Pelodiscus sinensis: one gene and its partners. Each later gene encodes a partner of the first gene's protein in a complex. Links are inferred from orthologs where the notes say so. Each region holds a gene or a part of one and is shown on either strand. Other genes may lie near its edges.

Region 1 (7,527 bases):
AGGCCCCTGGCAGAGGTGCCCCCCCCCCGGCACTGACAGGCCCCTGGCAGAGGTGCCCCCCCCCGGCACTGACAGGCCCCTGGCAGAGGTGCCCCCCCCCGGCACTGACAGGCCCCTGGCAGAGGTGCCCCCCCCCGGCACTGACAGGCTCCTGGCAGAGGTGCCCCCCCCCCCCGGCACTGACAGGCCCCTGGCAGAGATGCCCCCCCCCCCGGCACTGACAGGCCCCTGGCAGAGGTGCCCCCCCCCCCGGCACTGACAGGCCCGTGGCAGAGGTGCCCCCCCCCCCGGCACTGACAGGCCCCTGGCAGAGGTGCCCCCCCCCGGCACTGACAGGCCCCTGGCAGAGGTGCCCCCCCCCCCGGCACTGACAGGCCCCTGGCAGAGGTGCCCCCCCCCCCCGGCACTGACAGGCCCCTGGCAGAGGTGCCCCCCCCCCGGCACTGACAGGCCCCTGGCAGAGGTGCCCCCCCCCCCCGGCACTGACAGGCCCGTGGCAGAGGTGCCCCCCCCGGCACTGACAGGCCCCTGGCAGAGGTGCCCCCCCCCCCGGCACTGACAGGCCCGTGGCAGAGGTGCCCCCCCCCCGGCACTGACAGGCCCCTGGCAGAGGTGCCCCCCCCGGCACTGCCGGCCCGTGGCAGAGGTGCCCCCCCCCGGCACTGACAGGCCCGTGGCAGAGGTGCCCCCCCCCGGCACTGACAGGCCCCTGGCAGACGTGCCCCCCCCCGGCACTGACAGGCCCGTGGCAGAGGTGCCCCCCCTCCGGCACTGACAGGCCCGTAGCAGAGGTGCCCCCCCTCCGGCACTGACAGGCCCCTGGCAGACGTGCCCCCCCCCCGGCACTGACAGGCCCGTGGCAGAGGTGCCCCCCCCGGCACTGACAGGCCCCTGGCAGAGGTGCCCCCCCCGGCACTGACAGGCCCCTGGCAGAGGTGCCCCCCCCGGCACTGACAGGCCCGTGGCAGAGGTGCCCCCCCCCCCCGGCACTGACAGGCCCCTGGCAGAGGTGCCCCCCCGGCACTGACAGGCCCCTGGCAGAGGTGCCCCCACCCCGGCACTGACAGGCCCGTGGCAGAGGTGCCCCCCCCGGCACTGACAGGCCCGTGGCAGAGGTGCCCCCCCCCCCCGGCACTGACAGGCCCGTGGCAGAGGTGCCCCCCCGGCACTGACAGGCCCCTGGCAGAGGTGCCCCCCCCGGCACTGACAGGCCCGTGGCAGAGGTGCCCCCCCCGGCACTGACAGGCCCCTGGCAGAGGTGCCCCCACCCCGGCACTGACAGGCCCCTGGCAGAGGTGCCCCCCCCCCGGCACTGACAGGCCCCTGGCAGAGGTGCCCCCACCCCGGCACTGACAGGCCCCTGGCAGAGGTGCCCCCACCCCGGCACTGACAGGCCCCTGGCAGAGGTGCCCCCCCCGGCACTGACAGGCCCCTGGCAGAGGTGCCCCCCCCGGCACTGACAGGCCCCTGGCAGAGGTGCCCCCCCCCCCGGCACTGACAGGCCCCTGGCAGAGGTGCCCCCCCCTCCGGCACTGACAGGCCCCTGGCAGAGGTGCCCCCCCCCGGCACTGACAGGCCCCTGGCAGAGGTGCCCCCCCCCGGCACTGACAGGCCCCTGGCAGAGGTGCCCCCCCCCGGCACTGACAGGCCCCTGGCAGAGGTGCCCCCCCCCGGCACTGACAGGCCCCTGGCAGAGGTGCCCCCCCCGGCACTGACAGGCCCCTGGCAGAGGTGCCCCCCCCCGGCACTGACAGGCCCCTGGCAGAGGTGCCCCCCCCCGGCACTGACAGGCCCCTGGCAGAGGTGCCCCCCCCGGCACTGACAGGCCCCTGGCAGAGGTGCCCCCCCCCGGCACTGACAGGCCCCTGGCAGAGGTGCCCCCCCCCCGGCACTGACAGGCCCCTGGCAGAGGTGCCCCCCCCCGGCACTGACAGGCCCCTGGCAGAGGTGCCCCCCCCGGCACTGACAGGCCCCTGGCAGAGGTGCCCCCCCCCCCCGGCACTGACAGGCCCCTGGCAGAGGTGCCCCCCCCCCCGGCACTGACAGGCCCCTGGCAGAGGTGCCCCCCCCCCCCGGCACTGACAGGCCCCTGGCAGAGGTGCCCCCCCCTCCGGCACTGACAGGCCCCTGGCAGAGGTGCCCCCCCCCGGCACTGACAGGCCCCTGGCAGAGGTGCCCCCCCCGGCACTGACAGGCCCCTGGCAGAGGTGCCCCCCCCCGGCACTGACAGGCCCCTGGCAGAGGTGCCCCCCCCGGCACTGACAGGCCCCTGGCAGAGGTGCCCCCCCCGGCACTGACAGGCCCCTGGCAGAGGTGCCCCCCCCCGGCACTGACAGGCCCCTGGCAGAGGTGCCCCCCCCCCGGCACTGACAGGCCCCTGGCAGAGGTGCCCCCCCCGGCACTGACAGGCCCCTGGCAGAGGTGCCCCCCCCCCGGCACTGACAGGCCCCTGGCAGAGGTGCCCCCCCCCCGGCACTGACAGGCCCCTGGCAGAGGTGCCCCCCCCCGGCACTGACAGGCCCCTGGCAGAGGTGCCCCCCCCCCGGCACTGACAGGCCCCTGGCAGAGGTGCCCCCCCCCGGCACTGACAGGCCCCTGGCAGAGGTGCCCCCCCCCCCCGGCACTGACAGGCCCCTGGCAGAGGTGCCCCCCCCCCCCGGCACTGACAGGCCCCTGGCAGAGGTGCCCCCCCCCCCCCCGGCACTGACAGGCCCCTGGCAGAGGTGCCCCCCCCCCCCCGGCACTGACAGGCCCCTGGCAGAGGTGCCCCCCCCCCCCCCGGCACTGACAGGCCCCTGGCAGAGGTGAGGTGGGGGGCGGGGCGAACTCCCCCTCCGCCACTTACGCTTTTTTAATGTCAGCGTCCTTGGCGGTGCGGTTGAGCTCCAGCACCACGTAGTAATCCTGCCCCATGGCGGCCGGCGCTGTCGGTCCCGCGTCCCCGTTGCTATGGGCACCGCCGCGCTGGGGATTGTGGTCGTTGTAGTTCTCGCGCGCATCCCGCGTCCGGGCGCATACGTCACTTCCGGACTACACACCCCTCCCCTTTTCTTTGCTTCTCAAGGGCGTGTGTGGCCCTTCCTCCCCGTCCCCTTGTCCCCAGAATCTGAGGTGTGCGGGGGAGGGGCTTCAAGCTTAGGGAGAATAAAGGAGCCACTGAGCACCCCCCCATCTCCTAGGGGCAGTGGCCCAGCTGACTCATTGCAGAGCCTCCCCTCCCCCCCATGGGACACTGCACCCCAAGTCCCACAACAGCGCTGAACCCTGATCCTTCCCTCACACCTCCATCCACCCTGCTGGGTGGGGCCACCTTTTATCAGTTCTCCCCTTGCACAGCTTCAGCAGAGCAGAGCCCTCCACATGCCTGGTCCACTGGGGCAGGGAGTGAAAATCTGCTTTAGAGGGCATTCCTTGCAGCAGGGAGTAAAGCTGCATAGCACCAAACCCTAGTGTGCATTAATTCACCAACACGGCCTAGCTCATCACACACATTTGTGGTTCAGTGGGTGTGATGGTAACCTTATCAATGACAGGGAGGGAGGACAAAAGTCTTACAAGTGGATAGTGAACTAGATTGGATGGAGCCTTGTTGCAGTTTAACAAGCCAATCCACTATGGCATACACCATGTTAGTTATTTAAGAGTAAATGGTTACTTGTCTTCAAAGTACTTTATATACATTATCTCAGCCATTATAAATTCAGCTGGGTCTAGTGGATTTTATTAACAGATTTTAAGGAGTGAAAAGTAGGAAAAATTTTGTATGTAGGCTAAATTCTCATGACAATTTTGATTGTCCATAAGACAGTAGCATTTCACCCCTTTTTTATAGCTGAGGAAACCAAGACAGATATTCAGTGATTTGTTCAAGGCCACACAGTGAATCAGCTGAATTTGATTTCTGGAGTTCCTGAATCTTAGCCCACTGTTTGCTCTTGGATATCATGAGCTAGCACAGGAATTTACAGATACATGCACACAAATTGCGTAGATAGACCAGAGTCCACAGGATTGTACATATAGCTGAGAGAGGATTTCAAATAATGGCAGACTGCCTATAAGGGAAAAAAAAACATTTTCCCCATATATGAGCTATACAATTACTGATTTAAAAGTAACAGGTGGAATTTTAATGTGGTCTTCGCTGTAATGGTTTTAACTACAATTGGATATATTTTAATTGCCTAAGAACATATGTATTTCATTTAAGTGAAGATCAAACTGAAATCTCAAATTTCATCTAAGATCAAATCGTAGCTGCTCATTACATTTACAAAATAGTCATACTTGTTATTCATGATAGTCACAAGAAAGATTACGAAAAATTGAATATGGCATGGACAGAGTGGTTTTGCTTTGAAATTAGCAATTTTGAAAATGCACGAACTTTGAAAATGCACAAGAAGTTAACAAAAGTCAATCCCTTTATTTCAATCAATTCTGCAGTACAGTAACTTTTAGACGACTTCTCTCTCCAGCCTCCAAATCAGTCTTCTCTTCAAAATACCAAATTGCTCACTAAATGTGTAAATATATTGCATATACAAAAGATCTTACACTAACATCTTCTATAAGCTTCTTACTGGAAGAGACTTGTCTGAACTTTGGTTTTAATAAGCAGCAGATCAAGAATTCCATGTACAGTCTTGTTCTTAGATTTTTATCATAAGTGTTCGCCCAGCTTATATATACACACGTTTCGTATATACCGTACAATCACAGAAAGCTAGCATTACTTTTATTTCGAAGTGCTATGTAGCCGAGGTTCAAACCTAGCCAGACTTTAGCTTAGTTCTGAATTTATCTGTTTTCCATAACCCTCAAATGCTCAGAGGTCAGAAAGCTGGTATCTCCTCACCACCCCATCTCTGCAGCATGTATAAATCTGTTTCTCCCATGTAGCAACCTAGAAGGAAATGAAAATATTTAAAAATAAAATCACTTGCATGAACATCATCTTCGTCTGCCTTTGTAGTTTCTCCTGTGCAACCCTATATATATATGGCCAAAAACTTCCATCCTCTTAAATCCCTCCTTTAAACAAATCTCTCCCATGAGACATACAAATCACAATAACAGGCGACTGGAAAGATGAAAGATCAGCTGGGGCTGCTTGACAACTCATAATGGAAACAGAGCTATATTGGGCAGGGAACTCCCTCCAACCCTCATTGTTTGGATAGCCTTCTGGACAATAGGCCTCTCCGATCTTTGACTGGAACCGCTATGAGCTACTGCAATATACAGTGAATGTATCAATATCTGGCTTTTAACATCTCCCTTGACTGTTATGGCTTCAAAGTCATGTCAAACATTCTTGGAACGATAATTGTCCCTAGATGTCCAAAAAGGAAGATATCTCCATGTGTTAATTAGAAATCCTACCAGTATCACCATGGACAGAGTAGTTTGCTACTCACAAGAGCTCATGTACTTCCCCAAATGCTACATTGCAGTGGGCTCTGAACTGAGAAAAAGCCTGAAGAAAAATGGGAACATTTAAATGTTTTTATTTTATGAGATGGGAAAGGAAGAAATCAGCAACCTTTGAAAAAGTATTAGCTCTTAAACTAGCCATAGAACACTACAACTAGCTGAAAATGCAGCAGTTTCCCCTCAAGATTCACTGGAGGATGAGGGAAGAGGATACATTAGTAAGTCCTGTTGAACAGCACTATTGAGCATGTTTCTTGGTTTGCATGCATGTTTTTATTTCAGCTTTGCCATTATAAAGATGACTGTGTAATAGCACCTGGGGTCTACAGTGTGATAGCTAAGTGCTTTATAAATCAGTGAGCAACAACTTTTAGACACAAGGTCCTTGGGGTTTGAAATTGTTTCAAAGACGACTGATCAAACGCACTCCATTTACAGGACAGACTTTCTGTCAGATCTGAGGGTCTCTACTACAGGAAAAGGTTGAATTAAGATATGCAAGTTCAGCTATGTTAACTGCGTAGCTGAAGTTGAAGTACCTTAACTCGGCTTTTGGCACTGTCTACACTGCAGGAAGTCAAAGGAAAAAACACTCGCCCTTTGACTTCCCTTACTCCTCTTGAAAACAGGACTACTAGCATCGAGCAGTACGCCCCTCTCAGTTCAAATGAGCTGTTTTAACTAGACCCACTAATTAAAACGCCAGAAGATTGACAACAGCAGCTTTGTTCTCCTCTGTAGTGTAGGCAGACCCTAAGAGAGAAGATGGATTTCTTTTGCTCGCACATCACCACCAATTACAAGTCTGCAGGCCAAATGCTGCACTCAGGTATGCTAGCCTACACTGCCTTCAAGGTGCTGTATTGTTACAACAGATGGCAAGGTATGGCATTGCAACTGGAACCTGTTACAAGACGACCTAAGCAGCAGCATCAGTACCATGGCTGTACGAAACGGGATGCTAATCCAGCACCCTCTCCAACAGCTGTGTTAGCTCAGTGGGGTTTATGGAAATAAAGGGCAGCAAAAACTCAGTTTCTGAAATCAGCTGATGTGATTCAGAATATGAACAGTGGGCAGCTCAGCTAAGTAAGGATTTCTGTAAAAATGGCACCACTTTTCTAAACAGAATTGCCCTTTAAAACAGACAGGCCTGAATGCAGAAGTAGAGGCTCCCAAGTTGTAATCAGAGCTCTCTGACAATGGACAAGTTACTTAACCCCCGCCTCAGTTTTCCCATTTGAGAGAGGCGAAATTACGCTACTGCTCCTTAGCCAGGTGACCAAAGGATTTGTTTTTGTAAAGAGTTAAATTATTCAAATACAAAAATTAATTTAAAAAATTGACTTTTCAGAAAGGTGACAGCTCTGTTGGTTGCCAAATCACCAGACAATGGCAGCCATGGCAGGGTGGCACCTTTATTTCCCCCTTGCTGTTACTCAGGTCAATGATAAGCAGACTTAGCCATTACCTTGTATACAGGGTCACAATCTGCTTCTGTGAGGTCAATTACGTGATCAAGATCTTGCTGAATAATAAAACAGGTTCCATCACCTAGGGGGAAAAAATCAAAATAGAGAAGGAATACAGAACTGCTTGCAAGATCCGACATTCCCATAACTACAAACAGATGCAGGTGGGCGTATATAGGAATGGTTTTGTATTCGAGCCTTTGAATAGGAGTTGTGGGGTGCCAGTTTGGCCAAACAGACTCTCGGAAGGTTGGGATATCTCATGGAAGAGTCAGTGGTATTGGAAGGGTACCGGGAACTGATGACAGAGGAATATGAAATATTAGGAAGTTAATGAAACACTGATTAATACTATCCCTATTATGTCACTTGTCATCTACTTGCTGGGGACATGTTCTCTAAAGGTGTGTCTACTCTTGAGCTAGAAGATGTAATTTCCAGCTCGAGCAGACATGCCCATGCTAGCTCTAAATGTAGCCACAGGAAGTGGAAGGAGATGCTAAGTACATACTCAAGTTGGCTAGTCCCATCCACCCATTTGCACCACTGCAGCTACTCTAGTAAGCTAGTGCAGGTATATCTGCTCAAGCTGGAAATTACACCTGCAGGTCCAGTGTAG
Region 2 (7,351 bases), on another chromosome or scaffold:
TTTTAAAGAATGCATGTGCAAATCAAGTATAGGTTCTTTTCCTTATTAAATTTCGTATCCCAAGCACCTCTTCTCTTTCCAGGCTTAGAGGGAAATGTTCTATTTTAGGAAGAATTAAAACTCAGTTGGAAGGTGATGGCCCAAAGTTGTGGCAGGCAAATGCCTGAATGAGGGCTAGACTCAGCTTTTGGTATCTGCTATTTCTTTTTGTCATTCAAATATATTTTGGGTTACAGCTGATATCCAAGCCATCATGTAAAATGCTTCCCTGTGGCCTTTGCCTTGAACACAGAAGTATCTCACTGCCAAACCCCTATTCTAGCCTTGTCTACACTGGCACATTTTGTTACCAAAAGCTGCCTTTGACAAAACAGTGAGAGCGTTTACACTGGAATGCAACTTTTGTTGGAAAAAACACCCAGTTTTGGTGACAAACTTCCACCCTTGCGAGACACTTTTCCTCTCCCTTTATTGTCATCAAATAGCCAGTGTGGACTCTATGGCTGGGTCTACACTGGCGCGATCTTGTGCAAAAGCAGCCGCTCTTGCGCAAAAACTTGCTGCCTGTCTACACTGGCCGTGTGTTCTTGTGCAAGTAAACTGACGTTCTAATGTTTAAAATCAGGGCTTCTTGTATGAGAACTCTGATGCTCCCACTCAGGAATAAGCCCTCTTGCGCAAGAGCTCTTCCAGAAGAGGCCAGTGTAGACAGGCAACATGAATTTCTTGCACAAGAAAGCCCTATGGTTAAAATGGCCATCAGAGCTTTCTTGTGCAAGAGAGAGCGTCTACACTTGCATGGATGCTCTTGCACAAAAGCACATGCCAGTGTAGATGCTCTCTTCTGGAAGAGTTTTTGCAGAAGAACTCTTCCGCAAAAGAGTTTTTGCGTGAGAACGCGCCAGTGTAGACGTAGCCTATTTGTTTTGTCCAGAGAACTAGCTTTCTCTGGTATCCCATGATACCTGCCCTGATGGCTTTGCTCAGTGTTTTGTGATCTCTACTGCCCTCCAGGCATGTGACCCACCCCTTTCAAAGCTTTGGGAAGTATCTGACAGCTGAGTCAGCTGCTCCCTTTAGGGAACTAACAAAAATTGGAATGCTCCTGTTCTGCCCTGCTAGGAACACAGCAGTAGGTGGACTGCTGCTGCGGGGGGAGGGGTGGAGAGACTGCTGTGCTGCTTTGACATTCCTCGGCAAAGAGAGCTCACAGAGCTGTGAGGGAATCCCAAGAAATGCAGGGATCAGCTCTGCCTTCCCACAACACTGCACTGTGGTATGCTTACCCACATTGCTAGCACCTTGTCCACAGATAGAGCAAAGCAAGGTGGCCATGAAATGTTGACAATGTGAGTCAACAATCAGGGGCAGATGACCGTTTTGCGGGGCCCCGGGCAGCATAATTCCGCGGGGCCCCTCCCTTTGCCACGGCGCATGTGCAGTAACGCCATGCGCAAGCGCGGTGGCGCCACGGCGCATGCGCGGGGCCCGGGGCGGCCGCCCCATTCGCCCTGCCCTATATCCGTCCCTGTCAACAATGGGGGAAAGGTAGGTTTCAGGGTGTTCTCTCACATCTATTGACAAATAAAATTTGCATTTGTAGAGGGGGATGAGAGAGGAAAGCAGGGCAGCGGGGGTCAGGGGAAAAAGGATCTGGGGGGGAGGGTAGTGGGCTCAGGTAACTGGTGGAGATCTCTGGGTGAGGAGCTACTGGGGATGGGGATTGCTAAGCATGGAAAGGAGTGGGGAGTACTGGGCAGGGCACATTAGCAGTACAGGGCTAGAGCTGGGGGTGCTGCCAAGAGAGAAGTGCTAGGGTTTGGGGTGAAAGCAGCACTATGCAGAGGTGGGGGCAAAGTGCCTAAATGTGCCCAGGCTGGGGCTTCCCACGAGTGCTAGTGTAAATGGGGGGTACCATGCCCCCAAGGGAAATGGGTGAGTGCCATGCCCACAGGCACCCCAAAACACAAGTTCACCCAGGGCACCATTTTCCCTAAGGCCTGCCCTGCTGATTGTACCCATCCTATTGTACACAAACAATTGTTACAATTTCCCTTCTCTACTCTGTTGTGTGCCACATGACTACCATCCTCTTTCCAAATAAGGATGCACTACAGGGCTACTGGAAATACTTATGAATTAGCAAGTGCTCTGCATGCTGAATTCTCATTGATTTTAGCCAGTCTGCATTCAACTGAAGTTCTAGGACCAGCGTTAGGGTTAGTAAAGTAAAGTATTTGGGGATCCCTCCAGCTCAGAGGTGCTATACAGGCACTCCCCGAGTTACGCGGATCCGACTTACGTCGGATCCGCAGTTACGAACGGGGTTCCTCTCCCTGGTCTCCAGCAGACCAGGGAGAGGAAGCAAAGCGGCGGAACACGTGGGCAGCGGACAGGGCTGTCCGCTGCCCACGCGCTCCGAGGCTTGGCTCTGCTTTGCCCCCCCCCTCCCTCTGGTCTGCAGACCAGAGGGAGGAGGGGGGGCAAAGCAGAGCCAAGCAGAGCCAAGCCGCGGAGCGCGCGATCAGCTGACAGCCCAGACGCGTCTGGGCTGTCAGCTGGCCGGGCGCTCCGGGGCTTGGCTCTGCTTTGCCCCCCCCCGTCCCCCTGGTCTGCAGACCAGGGGGAGGGGGGGGAGGCAAAGCAGAGCAAAGCAGAGCCAAGCCGCGGAGCGCGCGATCAGCTGACAGCCCAGACACGTCTGGGCTGGCAGCTGGCCGGGCGCTCCGCGGCTTGGCTCTGCTTTGCCCCCCCCCGTCCCCCTGGTCTGCAGACCAGGGGGACGGGGGGGGGGGCAAAGCAGAGCCAAGCCGCGGAGCGCACGATCGGCTGACAGCCCAGACGCGTCTGGGCTGGCAGCTGGCAGCGCGCTCCGCGGCTTGGCTCTGCTTTGCCCCCCCCCCTTCCCCCTGGTCTGCAGACCAGGAGGGGGGGGGGGAGCAAAGCAGAGCAAAGCCGCGGAGCACGCGGGCAGCGGACAGCCACTGCGCGTCTGGGCTGTCCCGCTGCCCCCGTGCTCCGTGGCTTTGCTTCAGACACCTGTGGTACAGCAGCTGGGGCGCTGCCAGTTGGTCCCGTAGCGCCGCTCTGGGCGCTACTGGACCAACCGGGCAGCACCCCAGCTGTTCTGCCCCAGGCTCCTGATTCAGCCACTGCTGGTCAGATTCAGCAGCGGCTGAATCAGGACGCCTGGGGCAGAGCAGCTGGGGTGCTGCTGGGTTGGTCCAGTAGCGCCGAGGAGCGGTGGCGCTACTGGACCAACCCAGCAGCACCCCAGCTGCTCTGCCCCAGGCATCCCCAAGTCAGCCGCAGCTGAAACTGACCAGTGGCTGACTACAGGAAGCCACTGACCAGTGGCTGACTACAGGAAGCCCCTGCCCCGGGCTTCCTGGAATCAGCCGCTGATCAGTTTCAGCAGCAGCTGACTTGGGGATGCCTGGGGTTCTTAAGTTGAATCTGTATGTAAGTCAGAACTGGCGTCCAGATTCAGCCGCTGTTGAAACTGATCAGTTTCAGCAGTGGCTGAATCTGGACGCCAGTTCCGACTTACATACAGATTCAGCTTAAGAACAAACCTACAGTCCCTATCTTGTACGTAACCCGTAACCCGGGGACTGCCTGTATACATAATTCATTGTGCGTATGACTCCTGTGAAGACCTCAAGTATGCCAGATGTCAAATCAATGAGACGTGCAACTTATATCTGTTACAGACGCACACCACAACCCTTCCACACCAGACAGAAAGATCTAAACTGCCTCTGACCCACACAACTCAATCTCCAGATTCCCCTTCTAACTGAGCCCTGGGCCTGGCCAGTAGGGTTGCCAGGTGTCCAGTTTTGAACTGGACAGTCCAGTATTTGAGCTTTCTGTTTGGGAAATAAATTGAGAAAATATAACTGAGAAAACAGAAATGTCCAGTATTTTCTAAATAAGATGTAATGTCGATTGTGATGTAATGTCAAGCGTGTCCGGTATTTTTTGTTGAAACCATCTGGCAACCCTACTGGCCAGCTTGCTGGTCAGTGCTTGGCACCTGGCACGGCTTAATTTGGAACGAAAGAGGTGCCAGGGTTCAATCACATTGTTACATTCATAACTGATGCAGCCAGCTCAGAGGCAGCTGGGACGGGGCAGGCTGGTGCAGCCCTGTCCTAAATGAAGCATTCCAGGGTGCAGCACGTCGGGCTTTGCCCCAAATCTGGATTCTGCACGTGACCAACGGAGCGACTCAGGCTGGGAGCGCGCCCCCAGAACAAGGAGCGGGCAGGGCAGTGCAGAAGGGGAGCGGGGGGAGGGACTAGGGGCTCGCGCTCCACCAGCGCTGATGCCCCCAAGAGCAGCGCGCGCCGTGTTCCACGGCTCTGAGTAACGAAACGCGCGCCTGACACGGACCGTGCCCCACGCCGTAGGGGGCGGCTCCTTCGCCTGCTGCCTCGGGTCTCCTAGCAACCGTCGCTGGGGCCGGAGCCGCTGGGCGGAAGGTGCGTGGGGCCGAGGGGGATGGCGGCGGGGTAATGGCTGGCTCTTCCTGGGGCTCCCTGTGGACGCGGCCCGCGCGGGGGGCTCACCCAGCGGGGGGCGGCGCTGCTCGAGCCACTTGGGGGGGGGGGTCAGCGCCACCGCGGGGTGGGCCCGGCTCACCTGGCTCCTGCGTTCCCTTTGCACTTTTCTGCCCGTGTGCAGAATAATTGTATGTGCCCCGAGGCATGGGCGAATGTGCACCACCCACAGACGCTGGGGATGGAAAATCCCGGTCGAGCAGTTAACTGGTTAAATGTTGGGTTAACCTAACGGTTAACCAGTGAGCCGACTAACCGGGATCTGGGTGCAGCGCCCAGCCCGCGGGGCTCCTGCCCCCAGCCCCCATACAACAGGCCAGGCTCCCCGCAGACAAGAGGCTGCACCAGACCCTGCCTGCAGGGTGCCCAGACCCGCCCTGGACCGGAGCAGAGCAGCCCCTCTCTGCGGTGGGCCCTTGTGGGGCTGGAGAAACCTCCTGCCCACAGCAGATTGGGAGCTGCTCCATCCCCCACTGGTTAACTAGATAACCAGTTAACTTTTCGCATCTCTAATGTGCACCACCCATAGAAACTAGGGATATAAAATCCCGTTTAATCAGTTAATTGCTTAAATGGGATCTCACGGGCAGAGGATGCTCCAGCGTGGCCAGGCCCACTGTGCTGCGGTGCAGGCAGACGGAGCTGGTGCGCCAGCACAGCTAGGCCACTGGGTAACCGGTAACTAGTAAGCATCACCTGGTAAGTGTGATGCTTACCAGTTAACCCCTGACATCCCTAAGAAAAACACAAACCTAGCTGTGGGCGCTCTTCTAATCATCTGGGCAGCATCGGAATCTCTCTTAAGTAGCCGCACCACACACAGCTTATAGGGAACACTGCCAGCTCCCCAGCTAAGCCTACCCTGTTGTCAGGCCAGATGAGTGGGAGGAAGCTTGGATGTTCCTATGCTGGTAGGTTCCCATGCTGATGGAGGTCCAATCCTACGTGTTTTGCATAGACACTGTTCCAAAGGGAGCACTAAAACTGCAGGAGTGGGCCCTTAATTTGCTTCTTCTCCAGTGATAGCCAAGTGTTAAAGAATGGAATGGTTTGAAATAAGAACCAGCTATTTTCTGCACAGATACCACAGTAGTATCTCACATAAATGAAATATTCTCCTGTTAAGATTCATTTCTAGGGAGTAAGCCTCTCATTTGTCTCGGGTGCTATGTCTACAGTGGCAAGATTTTGCGCAGCGCAAAATCTTGCCACCTGTCTACACTGGCCGCAAGTACTTGCGCAAGAACACTGACATTCTAATGTATAAAATCAGTGCTTCTTGCGCAAATACTCTGACACTCCTGCTCAGGGATAAGCCCTTTTGCACAACTGTTCTTGCGCAAGAGGCCAGTGTAGACAGGCAACATCAATTTCTTGTGCAAGAAAGCCCAATGTTTAAAATGGCCGTCGGAGCTTTCTTGCGCAAGAGAGCATCTACACTGGCACGGATGCTCTTGCGCAAAAGCACATCTTTTGCGCAAAGGCACATGCCAGTGTAGACGCTCTCTTACTCAAATACTCTAACGCAAAAACTCTTGCGTTAAAGAGTATTTGCGCAAAATCTTGTCTTTGCAGTAAGGGAGAAGCACTTGAATTTTAATCGTGACACAAAGATGCAAGCGCTAATGCCTGAGCCTCAGATTTATGTAGAAAGAACTCTGGCCCTCATCAAACCAGATGTAATTGACAAAGAAGAAGAAATAGAAGATATAATTCTCAGATCAGGATTCACCATTGTTCAGGTAATATGCTGTACATAAAATAAGGTTCTGAACACTGAGTAATCCTGTGGCATCTTAAAAACATTTATTAGGGCATAAGCTTTCATGAGCTGTAGCTCAGTTTGTCAGATGCATGAAATGGAAGCTTCACTTTTCATCATTCTGAACACTGATTTGAAGTTTGTTTATGGTCTGATAAGCAAGATGCAAACACCACCAATTTGGTTTACTTAATGTACTCTTTTCTACACACAAATGCACATCATACATCATTTGAAAGCTTATGTCTAAAATGAGGAATGATGTGGAACTGTCAAGTGTGCCTATGTAACCCACACACCTACTGGGCACGGCATACTCTCCCATGTAGTGGCACTTAGGGACTTGTGAATTTCTTCTACAGTGTTAGCAGAGAGCCAGCTGGCTTTTAGCTCAAGCGGTAGAGCAGAGGTGGGGAGCCTTTTTAGGGTCAGGGGCTGCTGATCCACAGAAAAATCAGGCAGGAGGCAGCGGTGGTTGGAGTGCCAGTGCGGGCTCCCCAATTCTGTGGGGGAGGAGCCCTGAGCCCCGGGGGCCATATCCAGGCAAGTCAGGGACCGCATCTGGCCCCTGGGCCATGGGTCTCCACTCCTGCTGTAGAGCTCCAGAGGTCCCAGGTTTGGTTCTGCCTGTGGCCATTACACCATTACTATAGAATGGGGATAAATAATGACACATTATCCATGAGTTAAAATGACCACTCAAAAATATTTGCATTTGTTTCTTTTAGTCTAATGACTCTTTTTATTATTTCAAGACCTAAAATTGGATTTCTTGGTGACCTCAAAGCATCATAGCAGTCTAAAGCAGGGGTCGGCCATAAATAACCCAGGAGACAAAGGTGGTTCGCTAGAGTTAACCCCTGGCTGGCCACCATTGCTTTATTTACCTTCACGTCCACAGGTGTTGCTGCTTGCAACTCCCATTGGCTGTGGATTGCTATTCCTGGCCAATGGGAGCTGCAGGAAGTGGTGTGAGCTAGGACACAGCTTCCTGGAACTCCCATTGACCGAGAACGGCAATCCG
Region 3 (7,160 bases), on another chromosome or scaffold:
CGGGTTCCCGCGCTTCTGAGGCTTTGCTCTGACAAAGCCTCAGAAGCGCGGGAACCCGCCCGGTGCCCCTGGTCTGCTGGAGACGGTCTCCAGCAGACCAGGGGCACCGGAGCAGCTTACGAACGGGGCTTTCTCGCCCCGGAGCTCACAGGTAGCAATCCGCCACCTCGACCTCCGGGGCGAGAAAGCCCCGTTCGTAAGTGCGGATCCGACATAAGTCGGATCCGCGTAAGTCGGGGACTGCCTGTAAAATATTTTGTGTATGCAATAGGGATGCAAAATCTTGTTTAATTAGTTAAATATTAAGTTTAGCCGGTAAACCAATTAAATGGGGTGGGCGGGGGAAGCGGTTTCCTCGCTGCGGTCAGAGCCTGCTCCGGCTGAGTTGGAGCAGATTCCTGAGGGCTGCTCCAGCTGCCACCAGTTAACCACTGACATCCCTTAATACATAACCAAAACATAGAATATAATTCTGCTCCATTTATTTCACAATATAATTTCCATGAAGCAGAATAGGTTAAGCCTCTATAAACCGGATTTCCCTCATCCAGCAACATCTGTAATCCAGCATCCATGAGTGGTCCGGGATCGGAGCACTCACGGGGAACAGCCGGAGGCCCTGCACTCAGCAACTCCTCTCCCTTCCTCTCAGAGCTTGCAGAGTGCCACAAATAGCCCACTTGCAGTGTTTAAGCTCAGAGATGAAAAGGAAGGTGTGGAGATGGGGGGCACTCAGGGAAAGGTACAGGATGGGTGTGGTGCCCCATGGCCAGAGGTGCAGGCACACAGGGGCCAGGAGCGCAGACCAGCAGCTGCAGGAATCCGATGCTGGCCACAGGCACCACACTCTCCCTGACTCTTCTACCAAGCACTCCCCATTCCCACTCCCTCCATGCTGGCCCCTCTGCTGCCATCATAAAAGAACCCAACAGACTGTGGCAGCAGAGGGTCTGCAATTGACATCTCCTGGTCCGGCACCAGTCAGGTCCTGAAGGTGCTGAACCAGGGATGTTCAAGCTACAGTTGCTTAACACAGTTTAACTTCAGTAAATATTCACTTATCTCTAGTTACAATAGTACATGATCACTACAGTGTTCCTTATAGTGCTCTATTCTATTAGTTCTAATGAACAGTCTCAATTAGCTATTTCCTGTCTTTAATTACACACAACTTCACTGAATTAAATGCTCATTCAAAAGGAATCTAGAAGCTACATAGAATTTAAATCATTTCTGTGTGTGATCAATTTTAAAAAAACAGATCTTATCTAAAGGCAAGTAACGCACATGAAGCAAGAACTAGGTTCCTGACACAAGTGGGATCAGAAAAATCATAAGCTTTTCCTTCCTTTTGATCTCTTACAGATACCCCTTTGCTATGGTCTCTTAAATTCAGACCATACTTTCTGGCACACTGGCAATATACCAGTGTTTTGTCACAATGCACCTCCACAAAATGCACATCTGAACCCACTTACCTCCTGAAGGTTCTATACTTTCCACTCACCTCAAAGGATTCCTCAGCCAACTCTTCAAATATATTTACATTCTTTGCATGGTTTTTTCACTTTTGATTTTGGGATGCTTGATTTTCTTGTTTAAACCATTTCTACAACAAAAGAACAGTTAGGAATGAGATATCTATAAATGTCATAAAGGGCTATATATATGGGCATATGTCTCACCCCTACCATACATGAGACTAAAAATATCTTGACTCAGAATGTACTTTTTGTTTATGTATTCTGTGCAAGCATTTGCATGATCAGAACCTTTTATACTACTTCTTACTATACTGCTTCTCACTTGTGTACAGACCCCGACTGATTTTTCTGTGGGTCAGCAACCCCTGAGCCAAAAAGGTTCCCCACCTCTGCTGTAAGCTAAGTGTTCAGATGCCGCCACCCTCCCACCCCCGCCGCTCAGCAAAGATTCAAATGCCACCCATCTGATTGGCAGACTACCTATAGCTGGCAGCATGTTTTTTTCTGCTGTTCCTGCATATCTGCACATGCCTTTGTGCACATAAAATTTATTCTGCACATGGATGGAAAACATTAAAGAGAGCATTGGCTGAGTGTGTATTCTGATTTGCAATGTATGTAGCAGCACTCCCAAGTGACAAGTCAGACTCTTGACAAGCAGCCAACAGAGCTGGTGCTATCCAGCTTGAACATCCTGGGGTTTCGAATAGGCCCCCACAGACGACTGGAAATAGTTGCAGGCTCCAGAGACGGCTCTGACCATTTGGCCCAGCTTATTCCTCCTCCCCTCCTGGAGCCCAGGCCTCTCTGCCCCCACCGCAGGGAGCATCCCTCTCCAGCTGCTGCAGACATGGCTAAGATTGCCAAAGGGATGCACACTCGGATGCGAAATCCCAGCCCGCCCGCCAGCCGGTTAAACGTTAAACCTCCGGGCTCGCCCGGTTAAACGCCTGGCGCGAAATCCGGGCTGGAGCAGCCCCCAGCCCCGCACTGGGGCTGGCTCCCAGCCTGTGGGGGCGCGGCCAGCCCCGTCTGCGGCAGCTGGGCCCCGGGTGCCTAAGCTTTGCTGCGGACACGAAGACCCCCGTGGGGGTGAGGGGCGGCCGCTGGGAGACGCGGTCAGGGACTACGGCCGGCACGGCTCCCGGTGGGCCTCGCCGAGAGGGCAGAGCCGCCCTTCACCACACCGAGCGGAGGCTCCCTGGGGCGAAGCCCAGCCGGGAGAGACGCGGCCCGAGCCCCGGCGCTTCCCCGCTGCCGCCTGGGAGCCCTACGGGGTGGCCGAGCAGCAGCGCAGCTCAGGCCCGCGAACCGCCACGACGCCCAACGGTCCGCGGCGCGCGCCCACGGGGGGGGGGCTCAACCGTCGGAGGGCGGGGGGGGGACGCGCCGACCTTTGCTCCGACGCTTCGCGCAGCCTCAACCAGCACGCCCTCCTCTAGGCGCGAGCCCGGGAGCGTCCCGTCGCTAGGCAGCCGTCCGCGTGGCCCGGGCGGGAGGGTTGGTGGCGGAGCTGGCGCTGGGGGCTGTCACGTGAGTAAGGTGGCAGCGTTAACCCCCCGGGCTGCCTGAGGGCAGCTCGCGCCTGGGGTCTCGAAGCGCAGCCCCGCCCTGCCAGCCCGGGGACATAGGCCTGACCCGTGCGCCAGGGGGCGAGCGATCGTCACACGAGACAAACCGCTGCCGCTTCCACCCGCGTAACGTGAGCGTCGGGCCAGCGCCCCCCGCGTGGAGGGCGAATGCCTCGATCTGTTGATGGCGCGGGCCCAAGAACCCAGCAACTGGACAGCTGGGGCAGGGATGTAAACGGGTAACCAGTTACCTGGTAAGCACCACCCTTACTGGGTGCAGGTAACTGGTTAACCAGCGCCCCGCGCACGCCGGTAACTGGTTAACTGGCACACGCAGGTAACGGGTTAACAGGTTAAACAGAATCTTGCATTCCTTGTTGGAGCGCCAGAATGCCAGACTGAGGGTACGTCTACACGGCAACACTATTTCCTAATAACTGAGTCCGTGTCTACGTAGCAGGCAGGTATTTCAAAATAGTGTCAAAATACTGTCAAGCTGGAGGACTACGCTGACCCTCGTTGGAGGAGGAATAAGGGAACTCGGAGGAAGAGTGCTCTATTTTTTAAATAAGTGCTGTGTAGATGCTCCCTATTTTGAAATAAGCTATTTGGAAATAAGCTACGCAGTTGAGGTAGACACCAGAGTTGTCAAGTATCAGAGGGGTAGCCGTGTTAGTCTGAATCTGCAAAAGCGACGAGGAGTCCTGTGGCACCTTATAGACTAACTGAAGTGTAGGAGCATAAGCGTGGGCAAAGACCCACTTCGTCAGATGCATGAAGTGGAAATTTCCAGAGGCAGGAATAAATATGCAGGCCAGGATCAGGCTGGAGATGACGAGGTGGATCCAATCAAGGAGGATGAGGCCCACTTCTAGCAGCTGATCTGGAGGTGTGAATTCCAAGAGAGCAGAAGCTGCTTTTGTAGTTAGCGAGCCATTCACAGTCTTTGTTTAATCCAGAGCTGATTGTGTCAAACTTAAAGATGAACTGTAGCTCAGCAGAATACTGATAGAAATGTAGCCCTGTTAGTCTGGGGTAGTTGAAGCAAAATGCAGGACAATGTAGCACTTTAAAGACTAACAAGATGGTTTATTAGATGATGAGCTTTCGTGGGCCAGACCCACTTCCTCAGATCAAATAGTGGAAGAAAGTAGTCACAACCATATATACCAAAGGATGCAATTAAAAAAATGAACAAATATGAAAAGGACAAATCACATTGCAGAACAGAAGGGGGATGCGGAGGGGGGGGGAGGGGGAGGAAGGAAGGTAAGTGTCTGTGAATTGATGATATTAAAGGTAGGGAGAGTGGGATGTTTGTGAGTTAATGGTATTACAGGTGATAATTGGGGAAACTGTCTTGGTAATGGGTGAGATAGTTCAAATTCTTGTTAAGTCCTTGTTGGCAAGTGTCGACTTGTAGCTCAGCAGTTTCTCTTTGAAGTCTGGTCCTGAAGTTTTTTTGCTGCAGGATGGCTACTTTTAGATCTGCAATTGTGTGTCCAGGAAGATTGAAGTGTTCCAGAGTTGTCGACTCGAGTCTCACGACTTGAACTCGAGTCCGACTTAAGTCACCTAGATGACTTGACTTGAGACTCGACTAAGGTTCATGGTTTGTGACTTAACTTGCTAATTTTGTTGAAGCGACTTGGTGAAAAAAATGTCCGAAAATGCCGCTGTTCTGATGCGCCCAGAGCGTCCAACGCATCCTCACCTCCCAGCTGGGATTCCCAGGCTGGGAGGCGGGGCCGCGATCGCTGCTCTTGGCGCATCAGAAGCCTGGTGGGGGTGGGGGAAGTAGCTAAGAGTCCCAGCCACTCTTCCCACCCCCACCAGGCTTCTGCGCAGTCACAGGCTCCTAGCGCCGATCATGGCCCCGCCTTCCAGCTGCTCCTCCCGCCCACGCAGGCTTCTGTCCGGTGCGCAGCCGGAAAAATCAGAAAATACCGGACACCTGGCAACCATAAGTATTTCAATGACGTAAACAATTATTATATTCATGAAGATGCGAGATTTCAGAGTTGTAAAAAATGAATTGATAAAAATATCCCATTTACTTGTCAACAGTATGCTACATTGTTGTGGGTTACTTTTCTTTCAAAACGATGCAATACATGGTGAATGTGTTTCATTTTTTTTCATTGTTTTGAACGCATCTAGGCGCAATTTCTGGCTTTAACGTAGAGCTACGACAACAACAATGCGAAAATAGTTTATTGGCTTGGGATTTGTGAAAATTTTATTGATTGTGTGTTTGTTTATGAAATTTTACATTAATATGCCATTTTTGAAATTTCATAGTGAACAAACAAAATTAAAATAATCAAAAAGTTAATATCCGTCTGTGAAGAATGAGGAAGAAAAATCAAAATGTCCTAAACTTTGTTTTTTTCGGTCAAATCAATAAATCCAGAGAAAACACGATCAGCGAAGTGCAAATTATGTGGGGTTGTAATCACTGATGGCATTGCAACAACTTCCAATTTTTTGCGCCTTATAAAAACCCATCCGCGAAAGCACAGTGAGTACGAAAAATATCTGCGACAAACCACAATTGATCCCGCCTCACCGTGTAAAATATCGGATTTCATTTATAAAGCATGATAATCAAGGTGTTTATGGAATAAATCATCCTAAACAAAGAAGAATAGTCAGTTCTTTGGTTATAGAACTGATAATTGGTTGCTTACTACCACTTTCAATAGCAGAAAAACCACAGTTCAGGCGATTTTGTCATGTGTTGGATCCCCAGTCACAAGAAATAAGTCGGTCTTTGGTTATGACATAACTGGACAATTTGTACCATAATGTGAAAGCTGATGTGTTGGCACTTCTTACTGAGGTGGACACAATTGCACTGACGCTCGACATCTGGTCAGATAGAAGAATGAGAGGCTTTTGGGGAGTAACAGCCCACATGATAATAAGGTACGCGCTCGTGACAAATTGTTGTCATGTGAAAGGTTCCTTGGCCAGCATACTGGTGAGAACATTGCAGAAGTGTTTGAGAACATATGTGATTCTTATAAAATAAAGGATAAAATTAGATATGTTATAACAGACAATGCTGCGGACATGCGTAAAGCATTCATCATAGCATTTAACAACCATGAATCAGAGCAGCAAATTGATATGCAAGATGACACTTTGGAAAATGAAGAATTATGTGAAGACTTAAACCCAGAAGTCGTTACATCGGTCATCCATCATGTAAACTCAAGTGGACCTCGAATTAAGAGACACAGTTGCTTTGCTTATACTCTGCAACTCACTGACCATGGTCTCAAGGAGGCGAAGTTATATGGTGCCCAGGCAAAAGTGTCAAAAATCTGCAGCCTTCTTCACACAAGTACTCTGTTCAAGGAAACCTTTGAAAGAAGGTTTGGTCTTCAAGCTTGTATTCCCCAAACCAATGCTACCAGGTAGAACAGTACTCTTATGCTGTGTCTACATTGGCGTGATTTCGTGCAAAAGCGGCCGCTTTTGTGCAAAAACTTGCTGCCTATCTACACTGGCTGCGAGTTCTTGCGCAAGTACACTGACGTTCTAATGTATGAAATCAGTGCTTCTTGCACAAGAACTCTGATGCTCCCGCTCAGGAATAAGCCCTCTTGCACAACTGTTCTTGTGCAAGAGGCCAGTGTAGACAGGCAATATGAATTTCTTGTGCAAGAAAGCCCTATGTTTAAAATGGCCATCAGAGCTTTCTTGTGCAAGAGAGCGTCTACACTGGCATGGACGCTCTTGCGCAAAAGCACATCTCTTGCGCAAAGGCACATGCCAGTGTAGACGCTCTCTTCTAGAAGAGTTTTTGCACAAGAACTCTTCCGCAAAAGGGTTCTTGCGCAAGATCATGCCAGTGTAGATGTAGCCTCAGACAAATAAATGTTTTTTAGTCCCTGGATGAAGAAAAGCAGAAACACATGCTTGAAGAACAAAACCAGTATAATTTAAAACCCAGCCAGAGGGATTATTCCCAGCTAAGGGTATGTCTACACTACCACCCTAGTTCGAACTAGGGTTGTAATGTAGGCAACCAGAGTTGCAAATGAAGCCCGGGATTTGAATTTCCCGGGCTTCATTTGCATATTGCCGGGCGCCGCCA
Region 4 (7,992 bases), about 180 Mb from region 1:
CCTTATACTTTTCAAAATACAAAAACCCTTACTTGAATTAAAGACCTGAGCAATGCCAGGTAAATCTGTTAGTAAGTTATACAGCATAACCTGTAGTGTACGTAAGCCCTCATAAAAGGCCCATGGAATGAACTTGTCTCTGAATTTGCAAGGCACCATTATGTTAAGAGGAGTCACTAGCTGCATCTGCCGCTGCAGGGTTGGGCTGGGAGCTTTAGCAGAGCTGGAAGGAAGCCCCATCTTGGAATAGGAGTCAGTTCTGTGAGTGAAGACAGATGTGAAACTTCTGCATGCTCCTTCACCCTCTTCTGACTCCTCTTGCCGCCACCTGCGTTTCCACAAAGGGTATCTACTTATCTCTTCAAGGGTTTGACACACGTCCACGAGCTTCCCTCCACTGCTGCCCCACTGGACAAGGGGGCATTTATGCCCAGAACTCAAGAAATCCTGGTTCCATTCCTTGTCCCAGGCTCTTGCCTGGCGGGTGGGGAGTGCTACCGTGGTTTGGCCCAGCCCTGAGGCTGTCATTGTCCTGTTGTGAAGGGCATCCAGGTTCCATTCCCTGTTCTGGTCCCTTACTCCCTAAGAAACTGGATCTCCCACTAATAGGGGGTTAGGGCCCTGTGGTGCCAGGTGGGAGACACAGGTCCTGTACTCCAGCCCTCTCAGTGGGGCTGGGAATGCTGGACATCCACAGGCTGCATCTTTATATTCTCTCCCCATTTTCTAGGCTCGCCAGGCTTGACCTAACCTGGCTGCTGACTGCCTGACTTAGAGCGCCCTCAGCTGACCAATAAGTAGAAATGCAAGCACATTTCATATATTCAACACCCATCCCCCTCTGCCACAAAGCATGGAGCATCTGACTCATACCCTCTGGTGATCCAGTGTTGGCCTCCCGGCATTCAGCTCTTCAGCTTCCCCTCCAGCATGAACCAACACTGAGGCAGTACCTGAGCCCTGTTTGTGATGTCTACCTAGGAGCATTGTGCCCTTGCCTTTCCACATGGCTGCTCAGGGCCTGAACATGAATTTCGGTGTAACGCTCCAGATCAATCAAAACACACAATTCCAGAAGCAACAAGGCTCCAGGTTTCACAGGGAACAACACTGCATTAGACAGTCAGCTTCGCCCAGCTGGCCGGGCCTTCCCTTTGCACTTTGCTTGCTTGACTCCTACAAAGGAAATGGCTTTGCTTGCAGAACTCTTCGGAAATGCATCCCAGGGACACTGGGTATCTTCGACTCCCACTGTCTTTAATGGGAACTGATGGCATTTGGTAGCTTGCAGGTGTGGGCCCTTTATCTCTGCACACCACAGCTGGGCCAAGAGAGAAACTGGGGGGGTAAAGGGGGGCGAAATGCTGAAGAAGTTTTATTCCTCTAGCTGCCAAGCCAATTAACAGTCTTTCTGGAGAGAAAAATGACAACTCCAATAAAGAACTGCAGGAAAAATCTAAGTTGAAATGGAGTTATGGCTGAAAGCATAGACGAGTAATTTAGGGTAAATTATGTTTAAGAGATGGTGTAATTATCCCCAAATCAGGCATTGCAAACAAGGAAATTCAAAGGTCAGGTTAATCTTCAAGCTAAATATATTAAGAAACTATGAGATGCTATCACTAAAATACACAGGTCTGCCTTGTGATACCAAACAGCAAATATGATTAACACAAAGTAGGGTTTGTGGTCCCAAATTTAAATGATTTAGCTACAATTTCATAATGAAAGAAATCACAAGCATTATCACATGAAGGGGGGAGCTAAAATTCAGTGTGGCAAAAACCACCTTCCCTGGGAAATATGGTTGTGATGTGTGTTCAGGGTTTGGGTATTTCAAGGAAAAATCATAAACTGCAAGATCTACAGATTTTCCATGAGAAGAAAGCAGAATAATGCCCATCTCTGACAAGACTGGGGGACTGTTCCCTGGTAGGGATGAGGCAGTGGGGGCTATGTAAACAGTGAGAGAAGAGATCCTGGAATACTCAAGAGCAGTGTTTCTTAAACTGTATTCTGGGGAACACCAGTGTGCCTTGGAGAACAACAGAGTTCAAAATGGCCACCCTTAAAGAGGCAGGAGCTTTTTTTTCTCAGTTACTCCCCTTCCCCACCCCCCCACACACACCCTTTTTCTTTTCTTTTTGCTCAACAAAAAAAATCCTTGGTGTTCCTCATAAAAAAATTGGAAGATCATCTTCCTCGGTTTTAAAAAGTTTAAGAAACACTGCTCAAGAGGAGTTGTGTATTGCCATGACCTTTTGATTTCTTTGCCACTCTTAGAACAAGGTGCATCTCGGGCAGGGATCAGAGCAAGATAAGACTCTGATCTGTTGGTCTCCTGCTCCTTCTCTTTTGCTCAGCACTGCCAGACGAAGAGTTGAGCAAAAGCCCATGAAGGTTCAAGATGATAAGGGAAAAAGTACATGGAATTTGTGCCAATCATTTGCTTCTTTATGGAGAACAGAGAGTCCTGAAAGGACTTTTTTGAGTGGGTGGGACTCTGCTTATTTCTTAACTGGAGAACTATCGGGAATGGCAAATCTCATCTTCCTTACTTTTTGCCAACCAGTGCCATAGAGGCCACAGATACATGGAATGGAAGTTCTCTGCACAGGTCATGGAGTGGTGTTGGGTTTTTAACAAAAAGAGGTTTTCTTTAAACAATTTGGTAGACATTTTATATTGTTAGATGATATACAAGGAAAGACCTTTCTCCTCTTAATCCAAACTCATAAGAATTCACATTCTCCAGTCCTTCATAGAGTCTTCCAGGAAGAACCAAGTAGACAAGACCTGAATTACTATTGTGAAAGTCAGGCTGGAAAAAAATTAAACTCAAACAAAACCCAATACCCACAAAACACAAACAAAACCCCCATCAGTGAAAAAGGGGAAGTGGTGAGGAAGAAAAAGCAACCCCCCTTTTTTTGTCCAGAACCAGTTTTCCAGATTATTTTTACCAATAGAAATGTAATGCAAGAGCATGTCTAATAAGGCATTTCCAGGATTTTCTGCAGGAGTTAGAGGGGATGAGGCAAAGCATGCGATAGATTACAAAGGGTCTGGAATGCCCTATGTAGAAATCCCCTGATGACATGAGAATAATGACTGTGGGTAATTGGAGAATTAGTGAGATGAGTCCCTTCAATTCCTGGTATAGAGCCAGTCTGGCAAAGTCAGAGAGAAGTGACTCCAGGCAGGTTTGTTCCCTATGGATGCTCCAGGAGTTTGCCCAAGAGATGGAGAAGCTCCATTAAATATCATCTAATCCATTTCCCCCATAGGACACAAAGTCAGGGAGACAGCCTGGGATCAGTGAGGTTGATTTCTGAGCCAGCAAGGTAAGATGGTGGTTGAAAGAGTGTGAAAAGAGGAAAGACAAAGTTAGGGACAGTAACTAGTGTAGCAGAAGAGTAGGAAGGGGTGGCTGTTTGAGATTGGGGAAGAGGAGCAGGCTTGCATTAAGAGAGGAGGTACCAGAAAAGAGAAATTAAGGAGGGAGGGGACCATGATAATGGAGGCAAAGGAAGTGAGCTTAGGACTGGGCAAATTAAACAGGCAGAGAACTTAAATGGGGAGAGCCCTCAAGGAACCATGAGTCTGGAACAGTGGAACAAAGAAACTGTGGGGCAAAGAGAAGGGGAATGTGGCAGATCTTGTTGACCAGCAAAGTCAAGTGATCCTGTGCAAAGTGGTAGCAGGAGCAAACTGGGTATATGTTAGGGGTGACCAGAGGTTCTGATTTTACAAGGACAGTCCCAATATTTGAGTGCTTGGCTTATCTAGGCACCTCTTACCCCCCTATTCCCTGTCCCGATGTTTCACACATGGGATGTGTCTACATTGCATGCTTCTTGTGCAAGAACAGCTGTTCTTGTGCAAAAACTTGCCAGCTGTCTACATTGCACACGTGTTCTTGCGCAAGTAAATTTACAGTATAGCGGCGGAAAACAGGGCTTCTTCCGGAAAAGTTATTTCTCTCCTGAGGAGGAATAAGCCCTCTTGTGCAAAAGCTCTTCCAAAAGAGGGCAGTGTAGACAGGCAACAAACATTTCTTGCACAAGAAGCCCTGATGGCTAAAATGGCATCAGAGCTTTCTTGTGCAAGAGAACGTCCACACTGCCATGGACACTCTTGCACAAAAGCACATGGCACTGTGGATTTGCTCTTGTGGAAGATCTTTCACCCAAGAACTCTTTCGCAAAACAGTTCTTGCACAAGAAGCCTGTAGTGTAGACGTAGCCTTGCTCTCTGGTCACGGTGCAATTCTTAGGTGACATGAGCTAGGGGTTTAGAGGCACATTGAATCAGCCTGATCTCAATGGGCAGAATGGGAGAGTCACAGCTTCTGTAAGAGGAATGTTAGGCCGTGACATACAAGTGTACATTAGCAATCGTGGGACCAGCACCTCGAATGTGGGGACTAGCTACACTCTGGCGGTGGCTGGCCAGCCACTGACACCCAGCAAGGCTGAACCTGACCGTTTCTCAGTGTGGGTTCAAAACAGCGGCGCTGGCACAATCTGTACGGTGGTGGGAGCAGAGAGCCACTGAACCCAGCTGCAGAGACGGTGCAGGGTGGAAGCGCCTCACGCAGGGCTGCAGCTGCACCGCTAGTGCCAGCACGCGCGGTTCCACATGGCCCGGGCGCCAGGGCAAAGCGTAACTGACAGGCACCGACAACGTCACTGCAGGGGCCTACGGGCGCAGCCACACCCACTCCGCGCCTCTCACCCGCAGAACAGCCCATGCGCCTGCGCCGAACAGTGACCGCCTGCCGCGCTGCCTTTGCAGCGCAATGATGTCATAATAGCGCCCATTGGCCCCTCCCCTCCGCGGCGCGTTCTCAAAGGACCCCTCCTTTCATGCAAATCACGCACCGCCTGCTCCTATCAAGCGGCTGCAAACAAGCTTCCGAGTCTCTCCCCAGTCTGGCTCCTGCCAGTTTCCTAAGAACTCTGCCTACTGGGACTTGTCAGTCACCAAGTGTTGCCATGGCAGCAGAACCTAGCAACAGTTCCCACCCATTCATCTTCGGGGTTTCCATAGCAGCAGTAAACAACCCCCCCTTCAGGCTGCAGGCTCGTGGAGCAGCTCAGAGCTGGGGTCAGTCCCCCCCCCCGTGGAGATTGGGGGGCAGGTTTGGGGCCCTGGTGCCAGCCCAGGCCCAGGCGCTGGGCCCTTGCTGGCACTGGGTGGCGAATGGGACACGGGGCTTCTCCCCTAGGCACCGAGCCCCTCTGGCCCCCGCTGGCAGAGGTCTCCCAGGCCTCTGCGTGCAGCCAGGTGCTGGGTCCTCAGCCGGACAGGGCTGTGCCTCAGCGTGCAGACACTGAGCTCCGCCAAGGGGCCGTCGGCGCAGGCCGCACTGCAGCCAGAGGTACGGCGGGAGGGCAGGGATCTCCTCGCTGCTGACACACTGGGACTGTCCGGCCTCTCTGGCCAGAATTACGTTCTCTCCTAGCAGGGCTTTTTCTAGTCCGGGAAGATGTCGAATGAGGAGTTTGAGGACGACTACAATGCCAACGAACCGGAAAAGGAGGGGGAGGAGGGGGAGGAAGAGAAGGAGCCAACAGAGGAGGAGGAGGAGGTAAGGAAGGCTGACCTGGAAAGGAGCCTGAGCATGAAGGGAGGGAATGTGTAGGGGGTCATGGATGTTAGGGGTGAGCTGAGAGTCTGACCCTGCCTTATTTTCTGTGATGTTTTCTCTACTGACTGTTTGTTTCTGTCTCTTTCCTTTGCTCATCCTCTCTCAGAGCTTGACTCCCCGCCTTCTGACAGAGGAGATAATGAAGGAAGGCCTCTCCCTCTTGTGTAAAACAGGCAACGGCTTGGCTCATGCCTATGTGAAACTAGAGGCAAAGGAAAAGTGAGTGTGGAAACATTCACAGTCAAATCCTCCTCCCCAACCACTGGCAGCAGGACAGAAGCCAACACCTTTCCTGAAGCACCCTTTTTAGGAAGATGTGGGGCAGCCAGGGGAGAAATTCTGGAATAATGTTTAATGGAGGAATGGATTGCAGTACCTACTAGCGAGGGCTTATTTCTGTTTGGGCTATCATGATTAGTGGGGCATCCCACTCAATATCCTGCACAGATCATACCTTGGATTACCTCTGACTGTATTCTGGGATGATCCAAAGGGAAATGGGCTTTGGGACTGTCACTTTGTTAGTGGCCCTCCTTCCTCCCTGTGTTTGCTTCCCCCCCCCCCCCCCAATATCCACATAGGCCTCTTGCTGCTCTTCCAAGTCAAATTTGGCATCAGGAAATGACTGGCCAACTGGAGATCAGCTTGTTGGGTCATTAAAGCATTTCTGTGGCCCTGTCTGTCTGGTTGGGCTCCCAGATTGCAGCTGATAGGACATGATGGTGGAGACCTTCCCACAGTTAGCCAGCTCTGACTAGTAGAGTGAGGCTGATGCTCAGATACATTATTGAGAACACCAGTATTATATCCAGATGGGCATGGTGACTGGGTAGACAGGACAGGTGGATAGTTAGTTGGATGCTCCACGAAACGCTCTCAGCAGCTCTTTCCTGATGTGTAGTAGGGAGGCTGACAGCACCCCCCACCCCCAGAGCTATGCTCTTTGCGTTGACTCTTGGGGCTATTCAAGTGACTGTCACCACCCCAAAATCAGCAGCCAACTCAAGTGTCTCCCTTCCTCACCCACCAGTTGCTGCTAACCATGGACCCATATATGTCATGGGGAAAACACTCTTGCAAGTTTTTGGAACTCATATCCCTGTGAACTTAATCCCACGTTGGCAGACACTCAGGGGGTTTGTGGAAGTTGGCACCCAGGGCACTGCCCTGCTTGCCTGCCTCCAGGACCAGCCCTGTCACTAATTGTGTATTCCAACCTCCTGGCACTGCAGCCTGGTCCTTCCCAGTCTCTCTCTTTCCCCCACCCAGCCCTCAATGCTAGGACCACTATTTGATGGACTTATTTCTTCATAGCTTCTATGGTTTCCTCCCCTTAGTTTCTGCCCCCTCTTGACAGCTCCTTTTTCAGCTGGGAAGGGACTCCAAGTAGGGGTCCCTCGGGGCTTTGTTTCAAACCCCTTGGCTCACTCCACAGTCTGCCTTCTCCCTCCTCCATCATACCCAGAGAAACTTCTCAAGATCAGATATAGGTAAGCTGCAGAGGAGTGGAGACCAGCTCTCGGAGAAAAGAGAAAGGAGGAAGAAAATTGGATGTTTGTCTTACATCCTCATCCTATGGCAGGGATCTGACAGATATCAGCCTTCTCCAGAACTACATTCACTTACGTTATGTGGATTTGTCAGAGAACCTGCTGCGAGATCTGTCTCCTCTGGGCAGCCTCATCCACCTGCTGTGGCTGAAGGTGGATGGGAATCGGCTGACCAGTCCCTGCCTGCCAGAGCTGCCCTACCTGCAGATTGCCAGTTTTGCTCACAATCGTATCAAGGACACAGAGGGCATTACCCACCCACGTCTGGGCAGCCTCAGCCTTAAAGGTGGGTGTGTACCAGCCCTCACCACAAAGTGTTCCTTACTGTGTGCTGGAAATGGGACACTGGAGGAATTAACCCTTTTGTTTCTCCTGTCACTCAGGGAATGAAATCCAAGTGATATCAGGTCTGGATCCAGGGAAACTGACAGACCTGCACACGCTGGAGTTGCGAGGAAACAGGCTAGAGACCACAGCAGGGCTGCACCTGCCAAAGCTCAAGAATCTTTACCTGGTAAAAGCTCCTCACCAGGGCACTATGCTGCAGAGAGTGGTGTGGAGATTCTGTTGGGTTGTCCATGTGTGAGTGTGGTGGTAGGCCAGCACTGTGCAGCCTTGTTAGACTGAGAGATTTACATGCTCCGAAAGGTCAGGGGGACACAATCAATTCTTTGGGGGAGATGCTGGGACCTATTGTGTTCCCATCATGCTCAGTCAGTGCAAAGTGAGCAGAAACCTCCTGCAAGTTCCCTGCAAAGAACTGATGACCTATTAAACCTCAGCTCGTCC

The links.
Region 2: the proteins of DNAJB13 (region 1) and NME5 are in contact, whole or in part, in a cryo-EM structure (PDB 8WZB), measured with the Mus musculus proteins. The link is inferred for Pelodiscus sinensis from reciprocal best matches to the Homo sapiens genes DNAJB13 and NME5. Residues at the interface, in NP_705755.2 of Mus musculus: Thr156, Lys157, Lys158, Thr181, Ile182, Asp183, Arg185, Trp188, Arg189, Gly191, Thr192, Arg193, Ile194, Thr195, Phe196, Glu197, Pro281; in NP_542368.2 of Mus musculus: Glu52, His53, Asn56, Met193, Lys199, Pro200, Lys201, Leu202, Cys203, His204, Phe205.
Region 3: DNAJB13 (region 1) and DYDC1 share a complex: the UniProt entries of both Homo sapiens proteins name them as parts of the axonemal radial spoke complex. The link is inferred for Pelodiscus sinensis from reciprocal best matches to the Homo sapiens genes DNAJB13 and DYDC1.
Region 4: DNAJB13 (region 1) and LRRC23 share a complex: the UniProt entries of both Homo sapiens proteins name them as parts of the axonemal radial spoke complex. The link is inferred for Pelodiscus sinensis from reciprocal best matches to the Homo sapiens genes DNAJB13 and LRRC23.

What each region holds. Positions count from the first base shown.
Region 1 is NC_134711.1:322,006,847-322,014,373, reverse strand, and holds the start of DNAJB13 (dnaJ homolog subfamily B member 13), read right to left. Parts: upstream 3,015-7,527; 5' UTR 3,000-3,014; coding exon 2,846-2,999; intron 1-2,845. Other genes in the region: PAAF1 (proteasomal ATPase-associated factor 1), read right to left, coding at 4,829-4,906, 6,908-6,990. UniProt on the Homo sapiens protein: Functions as part of axonemal radial spoke complexes that play an important part in the motility of sperm and cilia.
Region 2 is NC_134727.1:32,340,253-32,347,603, reverse strand, and holds the start of NME5 (nucleoside diphosphate kinase homolog 5), read left to right. Parts: upstream 1-4,334; 5' UTR 4,335-4,487; intron 4,488-6,140; 5' UTR 6,141-6,178; coding exon 6,179-6,307; intron 6,308-7,351. UniProt on the Homo sapiens protein: Functions as part of axonemal radial spoke complexes that play an important part in the motility of sperm and cilia. Does not seem to have nucleoside diphosphate kinase (NDPK) activity.
Region 3 is NC_134718.1:14,158,268-14,165,427, forward strand, and holds the start of DYDC1 (DPY30 domain-containing protein 1), read right to left. Parts: upstream 3,018-7,160; 5' UTR 2,879-3,017; intron 2,864-2,878; exon of another isoform or gene 2,672-2,863; intron 1,610-2,671; 5' UTR 1,508-1,609; intron 1,416-1,507; exon of another isoform or gene 1,288-1,415; intron 1-1,287. UniProt on the Homo sapiens protein: Functions as part of axonemal radial spoke complexes that play an important part in the motility of sperm and cilia. Plays a crucial role during acrosome biogenesis.
Region 4 is NC_134711.1:138,219,368-138,227,359, reverse strand, and holds the start of LRRC23 (leucine-rich repeat-containing protein 23), read left to right. Parts: upstream 1-4,985; 5' UTR 4,986-5,109; exon of another isoform or gene 5,110-5,470; 5' UTR 5,471-5,491; coding exon 5,492-5,593; intron 5,594-5,759; coding exon 5,760-5,872; intron 5,873-7,235; coding exon 7,236-7,489; intron 7,490-7,586; coding exon 7,587-7,717; intron 7,718-7,992. UniProt on the Homo sapiens protein: Essential for sperm motility and male fertility. Plays an important role in the proper assembly of the third radial spoke (RS3) head and the bridge structure between RS2 and RS3 in the sperm flagella.